Linked DNA regions of Schizosaccharomyces pombe. The gene in region 3 interacts genetically with the main gene of each other region. Each region holds a gene or a part of one and is shown on either strand. Other genes may lie near its edges. The genes, in order: air1, alp31, pfd3 and dsk1.

Region 1 (3,709 bases), on a different chromosome or scaffold from region 3:
CATTATGCTCTTTTCTATTAACCTTCTTATTTGTATCAGATGAAGATGAAGTTGCACTGTCAGAAGCCGTTTCATCACTGACAAATGAAGGATTAAGTGCGCAGTGAAATTCCTTTCCGAACTTAAATTTCTTGGTACGTGTTGAGTCCCTTAAGACTTTACTACCATTAGACTTCAGTAAATAATCATTTTTCTCTTCCTCATCCTTATCGGTTGAAGTCATATACCCATGGTACCTCTTTCGAGATTTGTGTTTTAACCATACTCTTAAACAAGCTTTTCCATTTTTATATTTATCAAGTTCATCTTTTTTTATCAATGCTTCAACACCCGCCAAGAATTTAACACTCAGTGTGCTGTCATTTTCGTGCAGTATTTTTTGAACGGTGGTTTCAGACGCGTCATAATAAGGTAGTAAAACATCAAGCGGTTCACGACGTACTACTATTTTACATAAAGAATCATCTTCTTTTGGCATGCTTTGAGATGAATATCTAAATATTCTTGGTAAATACTGTGTATTTGGAGTTGTCCTTAAATTTCACTACGTAACGCAAAGAGAAAGAATTACCAGTAGTAAACGGTTATAAACAATAGCTATTATACAGTACATTAATAGTAACAAACAAGTTTTAATCTTTTAGATGTCATTTTAAGCACGTACAAACCTTTGATGACTTCTTTGACCCTGATGGTGGGTTTTAGTAAAATGGTTATTAGCATTCGAATGAGTACGCGCGCGTTGATGTTCATTTGTCTGAGGAAGAGATTGCTGCTGTTGTGTAAGTTGAGTGTTAGAAGAAGCTGTAGTCTGGGGAGCTGAAAAAGCTACTTGGTTTGTTAAATTTACAGCAGGCATCATAGGGACGAATGCAGCAGCATTCATAGCATTCATTCCTTTAGGAGCCATATAGGTATTTGCGGATACAATGTAGGGCGGTGGTGGACATCCTAAGTTAAAGACATTATATTTGGCTAAAATTCGGAATATTAGACTTCGTATTCAACAAAAGTATTATAAAGTAATAACTTACGAGGAAACGCATAAGCATAAGGAAGGTCTAGCGAACCATTCCCCTTTTTTAAAAATCCAGAGGATGCCCTTTCTTCAAGTTGTTTTTGGGCTTCTTCTTGAGCTACTTTCGTATAGTAGTCCTGAACATTTTGTATATGGGCTCTTCCAGCATTGTGTGCTTTTCTAACTGATTGGCTATCATGAGTGAGCCAAACTTGGCAGTAATCACACAAATCTAAGCATTAATTAGTTTTCAATTATTGTTATTCATCGTATCATACATCTTGGCATTTTAGCGTGTTTGGCTGTTGTTGAGTCTTGTAATAAATGTGAGCTGTGTTGAAACGCTAAAATGATTTAAAAAGAAATTAATGTCAATTAGCAACAACTATACAAAGAACGTTCATAGTTAAACATTGAATGTTAAATTACTGTTTATCTATGCTTTACAAAGTGTTGAAACGAAGCTCTCGAATTTTCAACTACTTTAAAATCCAACGCCTTGAAGAGTCGGGAAGGTGCAATCATTTAATATTTTAATATAATTAAGTTACTGCTGTACTTTCAATATCTCTTCACGATCAGGGCTTTTAAGTACCAGACATTCTTGGTTATGCATTAAGTGTTGCATTTGAGAGAACAATTGTAATTTGGAGTATAAGTTATTTATTGAATTTCATTTATTGTCATGCTCATTTCAATGAAATAAACTTCTCATGAGAAAGCCAGATATAATCCATGTAAGGTGAATACTCACACCTTAACCAAAAATTTTTTGCCTTTACTGAAACTATTAAATTTCCATTTGATAGTTAAATACTTGAAGTGTTTTATGTTTTATTTGCTTTTAAACTGTTAAATTGATTGGGAATATTGTGAAGTAAACTACTGGCCGGCTGTTAAGTGTTAAAGAAAACTGTGCTTGCCATTATTACATTGCTTGTCAATATATGGACATGACTGTTTCAAACCAAAAAGCAGAAAGTGATGATGGTTCAGACATCGACGATGCGGCCTTGTTACAAAAAATTAATTCTTTACCGATTGACCAGAGTATCACAAATTCGGTGAGCTTGGAAAAGCATGATTTTCAAGGAAGTGATGACCATGACTCCTCTACGGATCTTTCCGATAGTACTTTGGAAGATGTGGAAGGAAGTGAATGGGCAGACGTATGGATTGAAAAGTTTTTTTTTAATACTTTTTACTAATAAAATTTAGGTGAGCAGGGGTAGATACTTCGGGTCAGATCCCTCAGAAAGTATAGTTTGCCATAATTGTAAAGGGAATGGTCACATATCTAAAGATTGTCCTCATGTTCTGGTATGCATTTTGATCGGACATTGTTTTTTTAATAGTGTTACTAACTGTATTACAGTGTACGACTTGTGGAGCAATTGATGATCATATTTCCGTAAGATGCCCCTGGACTAAGAAGTGCATGAATTGTGGACTACTGGGTCATATAGCTGCGCGATGTTCGGAGCCGCGAAAAAGAGGACCTAGAGTTTGTCGGACTTGTCATACCGATACTCATACTAGTTCGACGTGTCCTTTAATTTGGAGGTATTATGTCGAAAAAGAACATCCTGTTCGCATTGATGTTTCTGAGGTTCGAAAGTTTTGTTATAATTGTGCATCTGATGAACATTTTGGAGACGACTGTACTCTTCCATCTAGATCAAATTATCCTGAAAGCACTGCATTTTGTGAAGCGAACTGTCCTTCTGGAAATGATGCATCTAACAAGGAGTTTTTTGAAACCCGTCGTAAAGAGTTTCAATTGGAGAGGCGAGAGCAGAATCGAAATCAAAAATCGTCGAAACAACGGCCTTTTCACAAACCAGGAAATTCTCTAGCATCTAGGCTGGGATCTAAGCCAAAAAGCTTTAAAAGAAAACATAGCCCACCTTCTGAGGAGAATGGCAATTTATCCTTTCATTCTTCAGATGGAAGAAAATTTACCAAAACTTCAAAAAAAAATCGTAAACGAAAATGGTAATTCATGTGCTGGTATTATTCATCGCATGGTGTATCGCTCTGCTCACATTGCATTGCACTCATTGATAATACTATCTTACTAAAATTTATTGGCAAAATCTAAAATATATGTACATTAATTTTATACACTCTCATTTGCTATGTTCGCAAAATTTGTAATGTTATTGACCTCCATCATCAAAATTAAATACAAGCTATGATAACGGAGTAAACCATAGTTAGAAAGCAAAACAAAAAAAAACAACCAAAATCGAAGATAACAAGGCAAAACAAACAAATTTGCTTTAGGGTAAATAATGACAAACCGCCCACCAGAGTCTAAAAGAATGTGACACGATAATTAACGCAAGTTTAAATAAGTGTTACATCTGACTCTTACAAAATAGCTGTTTTTAAATTAATCAAAAAAATTTATGAAAGGCTTTCATGCAAAATAAATTGGTGAAGAGCCTTACCACCAGGGACAAATGGATACACATGTTCCTTTTGGGCAACCAAAACTTCCATAAGCACAGGACCTTTAGTTGACAAAAACTCCTTCATTTTTTTAGCCAAATCTTCTCTCTTTTCTACACGTAGTGCTTTGATGCCCATAGCGTCAGCCAACTTAACGAAGTTGGGATTCTTTTGATGAGTATGAGAATAGCGTTTCTCATAAAACAAGTTTTGCCATTGAGTGACCATGCCTTGCTC
Region 2 (3,392 bases), 2.8 Mb from region 3:
GTTCCCTCATTAACGTTCTACCAGTTGCCCGCATTGTTCCAGAAGATCAACCCAAATCTGAACGAGATGCAATAGCCTGGAGACTACCAGAGTCTTCATTTTACCCGACCGAGATCGTTTCCATGGTCGGAATCGAACACTGGAATACTTGAGACTTGGCGAAAAATGAGTATTATACAAGGGAAGAAAAGAAGAAGAAAATAAAAGGATAATTTATGTTTTACGGCAATAAAATAATGAATTAATAAGCAAGAAGTATTAAAATGGACTTTACCACTAATGAGGTTCTGTTTAGTAGGTTAGTAGTCTGTAAAAATTTGACAAGAAAAAATTTTCCGTTTCTTCAATTGAAGGGGAGCTCCATTTTAAGATTTGAATGGTCTGAAGAAATGTATAGATTGTATATATGGTTGTTACCGTACCGAAAAGACTATAATGAAAAGTTTAAGGGAATTCTAATAAATCCTTCTATTTTTCTTCTTGGCTGTCATCATGTTCAAATATGCAGTTTTCCGAACAACCTTGTATTTTTCATGGGAAAATGCGATTTGTTTCGTTTTTGTTAGCTTTGTTTGAATACCATTTTTTAACTTATGCGATACTTTCTAAACGGAGTTCACTTTTTAAATTAATCTATATCAACTGAGCCGTTCAATTCAATCCCTTTTTTTATATCAGCTTGTAAACAAACGTTTCAGGAAATGAGAAAGTTCAAAAAGCGTTAAACAGTGAATGCTTGTATGTTGAGCTTTGACTTGTTTGCAAATGTTTAATTGTCGAAATTCATCATCTGTATCTGTCCAAAGTTGTGAACTGACAAGATAGAGATTAATTTGTTAGATCACGCAAAGTACGATATGTTTAAAATGCTTATACCAGGTTGCAGTCTTTGTTTTTCATAGCTTTGCAAAAAAAAAAGTGGATTAAAATACTAATGACTACTAGGGTTCGAAAGGTTGCTGTTCGATTATGAAAAAGCGTTCACTCTTTTATCTCCCAAGCGATGATTTGAATTTTTGATGCATCTGTGGCGTAGAATATGATCAATCATTTTAGAAAACAGAATAATATTCAAGGATCCATTTAAAGTCCTATATAGAGTAAAGGATTTTAGCTATTATCCTCACATTGAAGACTGGTCCCATTATACCGAAGTCTGTTGACATTAATATCGTTGTACCGGCTTTTTGAGTAGACTAAATATCTTGTACAGGATCTACTTTGAAAGAGGGTATTAGGTCCTTTTTTTATTTTTTGTTTTCCAAGGATTAAGATAGAAGCTGAATTTTTTTGGCTAGGCAAAGTTGACTAATTATTAACAGACTGTGGTTCGAGTGATTAGCAATCAACCTATCCTTATATGAAATCGTGCTTTTAACAATTTCGGTTGTTGGGAGATAACTGTGTGTACGGAGAATCAGAAATTTTTGTTTTGGAAAATATTTGTAAAAGCAATTACGTCTAAATATAATGAATTACGCGCTAGAAAATTTTCATATAGCTGAATCCCGAAAAGCTCAACCTCCCATATGATTGAGCATCCATAAAAGCATGAAATTTTTGGTACAAGTATCGGTGAATCGTAAATTTAGAAATAACTGAGCAATTTTATCTCATACATAATATAGGAATGAAACGTTTGTCGATCAATAACTAGTCTGATACTTGATGCAAACATTTAATCAAATACCCTTTTTTAGGAATTTAAGGAAAGGGCTTTAAAAGAAATTGAAAACTTAACTAGAACTAGCTTTTCTTAATCGTTTCTCGTAACTTATCACCACACGCTAACATTAGCATTCCTTTGTATTCCAACGTTACCTACACTGCAGTCAAGGAAAATCATCCAACCTAACATTATTCCTTTGCATATCGCGTCCATTTTATTTTCTACCATGTCAAATACTGTTAGGAGCTTAGTCATCAAAACTAATGTCGTTAAAAGAATTATTAAAGATGTAGAAGTAAGTTTCCTTTTTGGATCGCGATTTTGTAGATGGAATTTTCTGACCTCAACAATTGTTTAGTTGGCTCATATCGATATTAACGAGGCCGAGAAACGTGTACAAAGTAAAATTGATAATGGGGAAGATTCTGCAGAAATTGAGCATCAGGTATGTTGCATTAGTTGAAACCATATAAACGTTGGACGTGTTGTGCTAGAAGATGTTTCTACCAAGCTGAAGATACTTTTCGGTGGTTTCCGCTTTAGCGTATCTTTTTTAAAATAAAAAATAATCAAAGTACTGACATTCTGGACCTCTAGAAATTTGTTTTGAAGAAGCATCTTGAGGCGTTGCCAGATGCTCTTGTACGTCTTCGTAATGCGACGAACGACTTGGAATCCATTTCTTCTGACAGTGCATACGAAGGAACTCCTGAACTTGAACAAGCAAATGAATATTTAGAAAAAGCAAAAGAAGTAATTGAAAAAGAGCAAACGAATTTCCCCACGAATGGGTACCACTGAATACACATTTACTAGCTTTTGTAGATCCCTGCTAAAATTTATTACTGACCCTTCAAAAGACGATCATGAAAAGGTTCTACGTTCATCATTCTTTACCCACCCTTTCAATGCTATCCTACTCAACTGTACTGTGTCTTCGATTTTTATTCCAATCCATTAAAATAATAGACAATCCCAACTACTTAAGGATTATCCAAGTCATGCTTAAATCTTTTTTAAGATTTCGCCAATCTATTCTAATTTTGCCAGTTAGGTGAAACTGTTCACATAAAAAAACATACGTATTCCCCTTTATTCTACTAGAGATTTAAATTTTAGCTGGACAATCAAACAATTTTAAAACAACCAAATGTTCCTGCTAACAAGCAGCATAGACAGTCGTCCTCTAGTATTTATTTGCACTTTTATTGTGAGTGTAATGTAGCGTATCACTATGTTAGATTGTACAGCTCATTGTTTGACGTTACTTACCATCTGAGCAAAGAGAAAGAAACACTTCGCGTGAACATTAAACAGATTGGGAGCATAAAACGTTCCATTTGTATACCTATGGCAAGTCCGCCAATATTATCAAGGGAATCACCTGTGTTGGGTTTAGAAGAAGAGAAGAAATCTGACGGCGGCAACTCTGAAGTAAATATTGACCCTTCTGCATCTTCATCGTTGAAGGAAGATGTAGATGGCGAAGAGGGAGCTGATACAAAAATAGATCCACACCTTCTTGAAGAAGATGATTTAAATCCTGTAGAGGATTACGATTCTAAAAACCAAAAAGTCGTTGAAGCATCTAAACTTGACCTTGACGCTACATCAACTGTTTGGGCGGAGAGTCTTAGTATTAATAGAGAAGCTAGTATTTCCCAATCAGGCATTGTAGACAATGAAATGGAGAAAAAAGTTGAAGAGGAAGAAGAGTTTGACG
Region 3 (3,258 bases):
TGGAATGATGTTGTTCATTGTGTTTTTTAACTGTTAATCTGACATCCATTGAGTCATTCTTTACAATTTGTAAAATTAATTTGTATCACTAATTTTGAAGGAAGCTATTTTGGTATTAATACCGCTTTTGGTCTCCACTTCCTTTTCGAAACTCTTAACAGCGATTAGGCCGGGTATCTTCCAGTGTGATGTATAGGTATTTGTCGTTTTTTTATCATTTCCGTTAATAAAGAACTCTTTTATCCAGCTTCTTACACTGTCAACTGTTGTGAAAGGAACACATTTAGAATTTCATTTTCCTTATTTGTTGTGATTTAAATCGTTTGACATAATTTTAAATTTGGTTTGAAATGTGTGTGAGAAGGCTTGTTTTATTCATTTAGTTTATTGCTTGTTTGCACGAAAATCCAGAACGGAGCATTAATGTAATCCTTTTTTATTCTGTAAAGCGTTTTTATACAAATGTTGGTTATACGTTTCTAAAATAAGAATATTGTTATAATAATATAGTTTTTTCTATCATTTGTTACACACACTAAAGAGACATTAAGGATAAGCAAATGTGTTAAAATGATAATATATTTTGGAAACATTTATAAAGAAATTAAGCAGCTTTGACTAACTACATTTTTGTTTTTTTCCTAAGCAAAACTGTATAGTTATACACGCGAGCTGTATTCACTTCCATTGTAGTGACTTGAGCTCTCAAAAATTCCAAATCTTCTTTACATGCTTTCAATGTTTCTTCCGCTGAGTTCAGCTTCTGCGTTAACAATGCTTCTGCCTCTTCAACCGTATACTCAAGCATAACATTTGCACCTAACCAAAGGTAGACATTGTCTTTAGCTTCTACTTCTGCTTTTGCATTTAATGTGTCATTTAGTTCATATGTAACAGTAAAAGAGTCACCTTGTCGCTCTTTCAAGAACTGAACACTCTGTAACGTTTTTCGAATGTCAGGAATTTTGTCATCCAAACTAGCAACTCTCCTGACCACACTAGTCTCCATGAATTTGTACTTTCTAAATTACATTATATTAATATGAAATAACATATATATCCTTACGCAATTGCTTCTTGGAACTTTTCGAGATGACCTTGAGCTTCCTCCATAGATAACTCTTTGAACTCAAAAAATTGAGCGGGTGGAATTCCCCGTGGATTTCTATTCATATTAGTTATTTTTTTAAAAAGTATTATACTTCAGTACATACGAAGAACTCATTCTCTATGCAACAGAAAAAGGGGCGGTTGTTTTGAACAGGTAACTGAGTGTCAAAGGTAATAGGTATAGTAATGTTACAAATTTGGAAATGCGTATTATTCCCTAATTACCAAATCTAACCAAGTCTGAACTACACAGTCTAAATAGGCAGAATATTTTGGTTATACACATGTAATTGATAATTGTTGCAAAATCTATTCATCCAATTTACCAACCATAACCTGTATAGAACCATTGCGCAGCGTAATGCATTTTCATTTGAAAGTACTAGCGAGAGTTTTATATCACTAAACTTTTTAAACGTTTTTTAATTACTTGAAATCACATATTTTAGTTAAACATATTCTGTTTGGAAAAGGCAGTTTTGTTGAAAAAATTGTATTTGAAAGACAACTTTATAGAAGGATAGTAAGAAAGTTAATTCCTAAATGGTCTATATTGAACCAAAAATAGTTACATTAAAAAACGAGAGTCATTAAAAGAGCAGATAAATTTGACATTAGAACCACTTTGGAACATTAATCGAAATTTAATCAATCATACAAACAAAAAAATTACAAAGTGCTCGTTTAGGTCACTGATCAAGAAGGGCGGACGGTATAAAGTAATTTGAAGTAAAATCAAAAATGTCAGCGAATAATTTAGAGGGATCCTCCGTGGTTTCAGGTTCTGCATCTTGCATAGGCGGTTCATTTGGGTGTAACATACTGTTGATGAATCTTAAAACATATCCAAATCGGACAGCCATGCCATCATCAAATGTTACGATATCAACCATTCTTTCTTGTACATATAATGTTATGTCACCTAAGTCAGAAGGCACCTCAAAGCCTTTATCACGGCAAAACGCAGCCAACATGAGGGCGTGGATAATCTCCAACAACGCTACCAAAAGCCAGCCTCGTTTTTCTAATATAGTGATTTGAGATATGAGTAGCCTCACGCACTGAATACAACTTTCACCCAAATTACCAATAATAGTTTCTTCATCTTCTAAAATCCCTGAATCCAGGGTAATAAAACATTGATACAAATTCACACGTGCAGTCCAGAACACCATTTTCAAAAATATGTATCGAAATTGAATATCTTCATTAGAAGGGTCATAAAACTTTGCTTCTATATCTACCAAAATAAGCGAAAGCTGTGATTCATAACTCTCCAGTTTATCAATGAATTTACTAACGGTGAGTGAATGAACAGATTTATAGATTGAAACACCACAATCAAGTAACCTTCCAAGAAGTAGATGAAAATTGTAGCTAATATCGTCATTAAAAAAACAACGAAGCGGCTTGAGACGACCATAAGTGTCGTGTTGAATGAATGGCGGACGGTACTTTAATACACATTCCAAACCATCAATTTCACAGAGAGCAAACCACAAATCTGACGTATTTTTTCCTATTTTTTCCGTAACTTGGAAGAGGGGAGTTACTAAGGTTGATACGTGAATGCTTCTACATAAGTCAGTATTCACTCCTCTTATTCTTGTGCGAAATTTTGTTGCATACGCTCGCAAAAGCAGCATCTGAATTATTTCTTTATCAGGCAAGCATAAATGTTTATATTCCTGCTCGGATATCTCGTTAAGTTTTAAATTTATAAGACGGCTGGATTCCAATGGAGTAATCCCCGCCGAATTATAAAAATTGAGAATAACATCAGGCAAATCGCTCAGCTGGATAGTTGCAGCAATAATTGGTAATAAAGTGAAGGCATCTTCGTACGAAAAAGATTCTGGTGATTCAATGTTGTTTAAGCTTTTTTCTACTGTCTCTTGATCATAAATAGGACAGACAACATTTAGTGTTTTAAAAAATAAATTAACAATTTTCTGTGATATGCAAAATGGCGGTAAAAGGTTCGCCAAACTCTCAACAACCACATTATCTTTATAGCTACTGTAAGCCTGAATTGAAAACGAAGGTCGAGATGAGCACATGTCGCTATCCTTTCTATATTTAATCAACTCAAAGAGTGATCTCCATCCATAAAAATCAAATTTCTCATTTTTTTTCGGATTAATATCG
Region 4 (5,353 bases), on a different chromosome or scaffold from region 3:
TGATTTACAGTATACAACATGATAAAATGCGTTACTTAAAAGGAATCGCTTAACTTCAGCATACTTGCACCTTGCAGGTAAAGCCAGGCCTTCACAAACCCAGCACCATTTTAGCTGCTAAAATGGCAGAAAATGAGAATCATGTACTTTCAATACGAATGTCACACCCATACTATTCAGAAAAAGAAATAAGTCGAATTTTGTCGACGCGAGATCCCAAAGAAAATAATTTGCGAATGCAGGCGTTCGCTTGGATATCAACACTTTCAAAAACTTTAAAATTGTATGCTTTTCCTCAAAATTATCTAGAATCTAACTTTTTTTTAGCCCTGTAAGGACCAGCGGCCTTGCAATGCTTTTATACAGTCGTTTCCAACTATTTTTTCCCGTGAATGAAATTCCTTTGCTGGTATGTTATTTGGATGTCTTTCGCACATGAGTATGCTGTGCTATTTGAAATTTTACGTATTCTGATATAAGAATATTCTGAATGCTGTACATTGGTCATACTATTAAAAAAGACTACAGTTTTTAATAATGTTAGCTCAGCTACTCCAAGTTATAAACATCATATTCTCTTGATTTAGGCTCTTTTTCTTTCAAAAATAACTAACACATTTAGGAGTGCGCTACTGCTTGCTTAGTAGTTGCTAGTAAAATCGAAGATACGGCCAAAAAGTTTCGTGATATTCTTTTAGCACATTATCTTCAAAAGCATCCAGGTTCTGAGGTCGATGCTCATTCACAAGTATGTTACAAGGTGCGCAATAATTGTTTTTTGTTTATAAGGAGACTTGCTTACAGGTGTATTAGCTAATCGAAGAGAACAAGAAGAGGATTCTAGGTTTAGAAAGAATGACACTGGAATTGATTTGTTTCGATTTTCGAGTCCGACATCCACACAATTACATGGTAAAATTTGCAAAATCACTGAAATGTATGACTGCTATTCATTTTACCTTATAATTTTCGAGTTAACTAATTTACTTTCAGTTTCATCTTCCACGGCAAGTATAGCTTGGAATGTCTGCACTGATGCTTATAAAACATACACAATGTTAAAATATCCAGCCCATATTGTTGCCGTCGCATCGATTTCTATTGCTTGCAAGTTACAGCAACTTCCTCAACCTATAATTCCCAGATCGTTCTTCGCTCCACCAGCACTAACGGAAGCAGTGATTGCGGATATACTCGATCTATATATGCATTATCAGCCTCACACTTGCATTGGTAATATGTATACAACGGAAAAATTACTTGGATTATGTGTTGACTTCCAACGAGCCCAAAAAAACTCTGGCCGTCCTCAAAAACCACCCCAAATTGACCCTCATTCTTCTTCTTTAGCAGATGAATACCGTGAGTCAAATAAGAGACTTCAAGAATCCAAAGAAAGTTGTGCCAGATTTATTTTAGACTGCGATAGAAAGTATTTTAATACCGAATTTGAAAAACGAATGCTGGAAGAAAGGAGAAATAAAGGTACGGTTTAATCTAATGGTTCCTTAATGAGTTATCTTACCATCGGTTTGTTCCTTCTTTCGACAGCATTCTGAACAGTATATTAATATGTGACATTACAAGTTACCAATTTCCAATTAACTTCCTTTTGAATGACAAAACTTTATTTTATGCGTTTTCTAAACATAATATGATTTAAAAAGCAGCTGACCTAAACCCTGCTATATCTTAAATATTCATTAAGTAAAAGGAAATTTCGTTCAAATTTCAGTGCAGTAAATGTTGATCAAAAGAAGGAATCGTGATAATCATACGTAACCCATTTCAGAGTGAAAGGTGTCATGCTTTTTTAAAGCAATCACGCTAATGGTGGGAAATTAAAAAAGGGACGATATCGCAAAAAAAAACTATATATAAAAAAAAATCATTTACTAGCGCTTCAAAACCAATATCAAGGTAAACACTAACGAATTTCAGTAGCCCATCCGGGTACATCTTCACCGGTTGCTCCAGTAGTCTCGATTTTGAACGTAGGATCAGCCACTTCGCGCAACCATGGAGAATTGCTCATGTAACCAGCATTGGTTCGCTTGGCAGGATCAAAACATAACATAGGAGATAAAAAGTCTGATATTTGTTGAGCCAACTCGGCTGAAAAATGGTATTTTTGCTCCAAAACATCTTTTAAAGGCCAAAACTTCAATTTATGAATATTTCGGAGTTCACCGCGACGGTTAAATAAATCGCGGGAGTGCTTTCCTGAAAGTGCCATTTGCTTAGGATAATTAACCAATAACTCAATAATTTGGGCAATGTGGTCATCCTCCTTAGAATAAGAATTCCCATTCCGTGGATCGAAAAGGTAATCGCCGGTTAGCAATTCAAAAATGATACAGGCAAAACTCCAGCAATCAGCGGAAGCTCCCCAGCGACATCCTAGAATTACTTCTGGAGACCTATACTGACGGGTTTGCACATCGTTGGTGAAATGCTTCCGTGTCCAGCACGCGTTACCGAGATCGGCAATTTTAACAGTGATTTTTGGAACGGGTTCCTGAGAACCGTTAACACCATCAAGTATAAGAGAATTATCTCCACTAGAAAACGGAGAATTAGGATGAGAATTATGCTTTTGAGAGTCACGAAGGCTGATTTCTGAAACAGCACCTTCTAATGAAGGAAAGCGGCTCAAAGTGGAAGTAAAAGGACTGCTAGGAATGACCTGGCCAGCAGGCTTAGAATTCTTAGTTGGATTTTTTGCAAATGTCTTGCGTTCTTGGGCAGAGTTATCTACAGATTGGCCACGTTTAATAATTGGAGCTTTGGCTGTATAACCAGTGTTATTTCTTGTTTTTGAAGAAGAGGTATTAGAAGTGGGGGAGGAAGTTGTTGCAGGTGCCTCAATATGTTGCAAGGCATCCTGATCAATGCATATTAAAACATTTTCGGGTTTAAGATCAGTATGAATGATCCCGCATTCTCGATGCAAGTAATCCAGAGCGATGAGTAATTGGTAGGCAATTTGCTTTACAATACCCACAGGTACTCCTCGATGGCCGTATGACTGTATCAAACTTAAAAGATTCTCACCGAGAACTTCGAATACCATACAGACATGAGCTCCATTAGGACCACGATGCACAAAATAATCGAGCAAAGAAATGATATGCTTTTTGCCCAAATGCTTTTCGTCCCCTTCTCTAATTTTCTGCAAAATGCGAATTTCATCAATTGAGGTCTCTCGATAGTGCTCTGCTGAACGCACCACCTTCAAAGCTACTCTCCGTTTGGCAGCTCGATCATATGCAAGCCAAACCGTTGAAAAATGTCCCCAGCCTAATTTTCTTTCAACGACATATCGACGGTGATGAAATTCTTCACCAATGTAGACTGGGTGGTATCCACCATAGTGATAGTCCTCTGCATTTTCTTCGTGCGTTTTTACCTTTTCCACCATGCTTTTTCCGTCTACTTCAGCATTGACCTTTTTATTAACATTTTTTCCATTCGTGATCACCTTTTCACTGACATGGTCAACTATTTCAGTGTGTCCCGGTTGTGACACTTTCGGTGACAAACTCGACCCGTCACTTCCCATTTCAAAATGGCTGGCTGCCCCGTATGAAGAAACTACTGATATGTCCCTCCAGCTCTTAAATTAAAATATCTGAGATATGTGAATACACCAATTCCTTCGTTGTTGTTGTTGTTTGTTCTGGTTATAAATACGGTATGGAGTAGTATTTTTAGTGCGAAAATCAACACGGGGAAACACCGTGGAGTCTTAGCACACTACCGAGGAAACTTTGCGCATTAGGAAGAGCGTTTCGATATAGTAAATAACAAAAAATGGGAAAATGGTTTACTAATTATTTTACGCCAGTAGGAGAAGCCACCTTTACACTCCGTTACTGTACCATAAATATTTTAATAATACTACTTAAAAATCCGTATATATGAATACCAATGACTAAGGCATCACTAAAAATATCAGCAGTTGATAGAATATGAACCCCCTGCGCTTTCATCCCATCGCTATCCCTTACTAACTACTTTTACCGAAGTAGCCCAGCCGTTAGAATTCCATAAGATGTGTTAAGGTCTTCCAAATTTATATCGTTATCCATTATAACTGTATCCCATTCAGCTCTTAGATCTCGACAGGATAGCTAGAAAAAATGTAAACAATTCTTGAGTCGTTGAAAAGAGGGATATTTAAGATCTGTTTTCTCTCTCAACATACGGCGTTCTTAAAATGAAAATTCTCAGATAATGTTCTAGCTTTACGGCATTCACACCTACGGCCCGAGATCTACTACCTACTCACACTAACCGTGATTCTACGGGCAAGACCTGGACTCGAAAACATTCAATTACATTGATAAAAACGGGATATAATAAATTGACAAGTATGGCCTGTGCTAACAGTTATTTTTGTTGAGGTCTTAGCAATGTATTATGGTAAACGGAAATCATATGTAAGGTTCATAACCAACCAATAAATATAAATGTCTATTTGAAAGGTACTTTTTTTGTGATGATCAGAAACATAAAGGAAACGGAGATCAACAAAAGTAATCATTGAGGATGATGAATTATTAAAGAAGTCACAAAAAGACAAAAGAAAGAGGCAGCGGGTAATAGAGATCATTTAAAACAAAGTCCATCGTTTCTAAATATCTAAACGGCAGCAAACTGGTTAAATTAACGAAAATAACAATAACAACAAGTAAATGCTGAGGCCATTAACCCAAGGCAACAAACCGCGGGCATGGTTTCTGAATAAAAAAGATGAATATAACAGAAATAAGAAAAACAAAAACTGGAAAAGAGAGGGTCAAGCAAATCAACTAAAAAGCGGACTTCTATGACGAATTAATCCTTTAGACAGTGCTTGCTCATTTGTCGTAATTTCGGCCCATATAAAAACAACATAAAAGGAACTGGAATAAGCCCAACTGCAACAAATCCGACCAGAGAACCAGCCCAACCAATTCCCAAATTATTGAACATTTGGGTTGTAAAAAGAGGAAATGCCGCGCCAAACGAACTTCTAAGTAATGTATTGGCCGCGATTGCAGAAGCAGAACATCCACTATAACAATCAATGATATAATTGATTGTTTGTTGAAAAATTGTAATGATTCCAAAGCCAATAAAACTACCTGCCAAAGTTGGAACAATCCAATGAATCCATGGATAATTACCAGTCCAAGCAAGCCAAAAGATGCCAATGGGAAAGACAATGCAACCGATCATCATGGAGGGAAGTCGTGCTTCAGGAACAGGTCTTCCTTTATTTTCATCCATCTTTTTAAAATAGTAGGGCTGGAACAGGGCAACGCTAGAGCATCCAATACAAACACCAACAAAAATAGCCAAATACGGA

What was found.
Region 1: mutations in pfd3 (region 3) and air1 together harm fitness more than expected from each alone (negative genetic interaction), as found in Schizosaccharomyces pombe (2 studies listed by BioGRID).
Region 2: mutations in pfd3 (region 3) and alp31 together harm fitness more than expected from each alone (negative genetic interaction), as found in Schizosaccharomyces pombe (2 studies listed by BioGRID).
Region 4: mutations in pfd3 (region 3) and dsk1 together harm fitness more than expected from each alone (negative genetic interaction), as found in Schizosaccharomyces pombe (2 studies listed by BioGRID).

What each region holds. Positions count from the first base shown.
Region 1 is NC_003423.3:978,837-982,545, reverse strand, and holds air1 (TRAMP complex zinc knuckle subunit Air1), read left to right. Parts: upstream 1-1,777; 5' UTR 1,778-1,965; coding exon 1,966-2,187; intron 2,188-2,236; coding exon 2,237-2,338; intron 2,339-2,393; coding exon 2,394-3,017; 3' UTR 3,018-3,188; downstream 3,189-3,709. Other genes in the region: SHREC complex ATP-dependent chromatin remodeller Mit1, read right to left, coding at 1-478; U1 snRNP-associated protein Usp103, read right to left, coding at 653-975, 1,035-1,250, 1,297-1,306; ilv1 (acetolactate synthase catalytic subunit), read right to left, coding at 3,428-3,709. UniProt on the Schizosaccharomyces pombe protein: Component of the TRAMP (TRF4) and TRAMP5 complexes which have a poly(A) RNA polymerase activity and are involved in a post-transcriptional quality control mechanism limiting inappropriate expression of genetic information.
Region 2 is NC_003424.3:3,375,253-3,378,644, forward strand, and holds alp31 (tubulin-specific chaperone cofactor A Alp31), read left to right. Parts: upstream 1-1,853; 5' UTR 1,854-1,895; coding exon 1,896-1,964; intron 1,965-2,027; coding exon 2,028-2,114; intron 2,115-2,266; coding exon 2,267-2,470; 3' UTR 2,471-2,648; coding exon of another isoform or gene 2,649-2,706; 3' UTR 2,707-2,751; coding exon of another isoform or gene 2,752-2,769; 3' UTR 2,770-2,816; downstream 2,817-3,392. Other genes in the region: SPOM_SPAC8E11.08C (uncharacterized protein), read left to right, coding at 264-566; SPOM_SPAC8E11.06 (uncharacterized protein), read right to left, coding at 2,649-2,706, 2,752-2,769, 2,817-2,842; SPOM_SPAC8E11.05C (uncharacterized protein), read left to right, coding at 3,020-3,392. UniProt on the Schizosaccharomyces pombe protein: Required for the maintenance of microtubule structures and cell polarity. Beta-tubulin-folding protein; may have a regulatory role in the tubulin-folding pathway.
Region 3 is NC_003424.3:600,261-603,518, forward strand, and holds pfd3 (prefoldin subunit Pfd3), read right to left. Parts: upstream 1,259-3,258; 5' UTR 1,226-1,258; coding exon 1,215-1,225; exon of another isoform or gene 1,166-1,214; coding exon 1,067-1,165; intron 1,023-1,066; coding exon 623-1,022; 3' UTR 566-622; downstream 1-565. Other genes in the region: SPOM_SPAC3H8.08C (transcription factor), read right to left, coding at 1,800-3,258.
Region 4 is NC_003423.3:824,252-829,604, forward strand, and holds dsk1 (SR protein-specific kinase Dsk1), read right to left. Parts: upstream 3,682-5,353; 5' UTR 3,563-3,681; coding exon 1,928-3,562; 3' UTR 1,497-1,927; coding exon of another isoform or gene 994-1,496; 3' UTR 938-993; coding exon of another isoform or gene 814-937; 3' UTR 749-813; coding exon of another isoform or gene 623-748; 3' UTR 554-622; downstream 1-553. Other genes in the region: lsc1 (Lsk1 associated cyclin), read left to right, coding at 123-283, 328-409, 623-748, 814-937, 994-1,496; SPOM_SPBC530.15C (spermidine family transporter), read right to left, coding at 4,840-5,353. UniProt on the Schizosaccharomyces pombe protein: May play an important role in mitotic control by altering cellular location, degree of phosphorylation and kinase activity. Abundant expression accelerates the exit when cells are in M-phase and also delays the entry into mitosis when cells are in G2.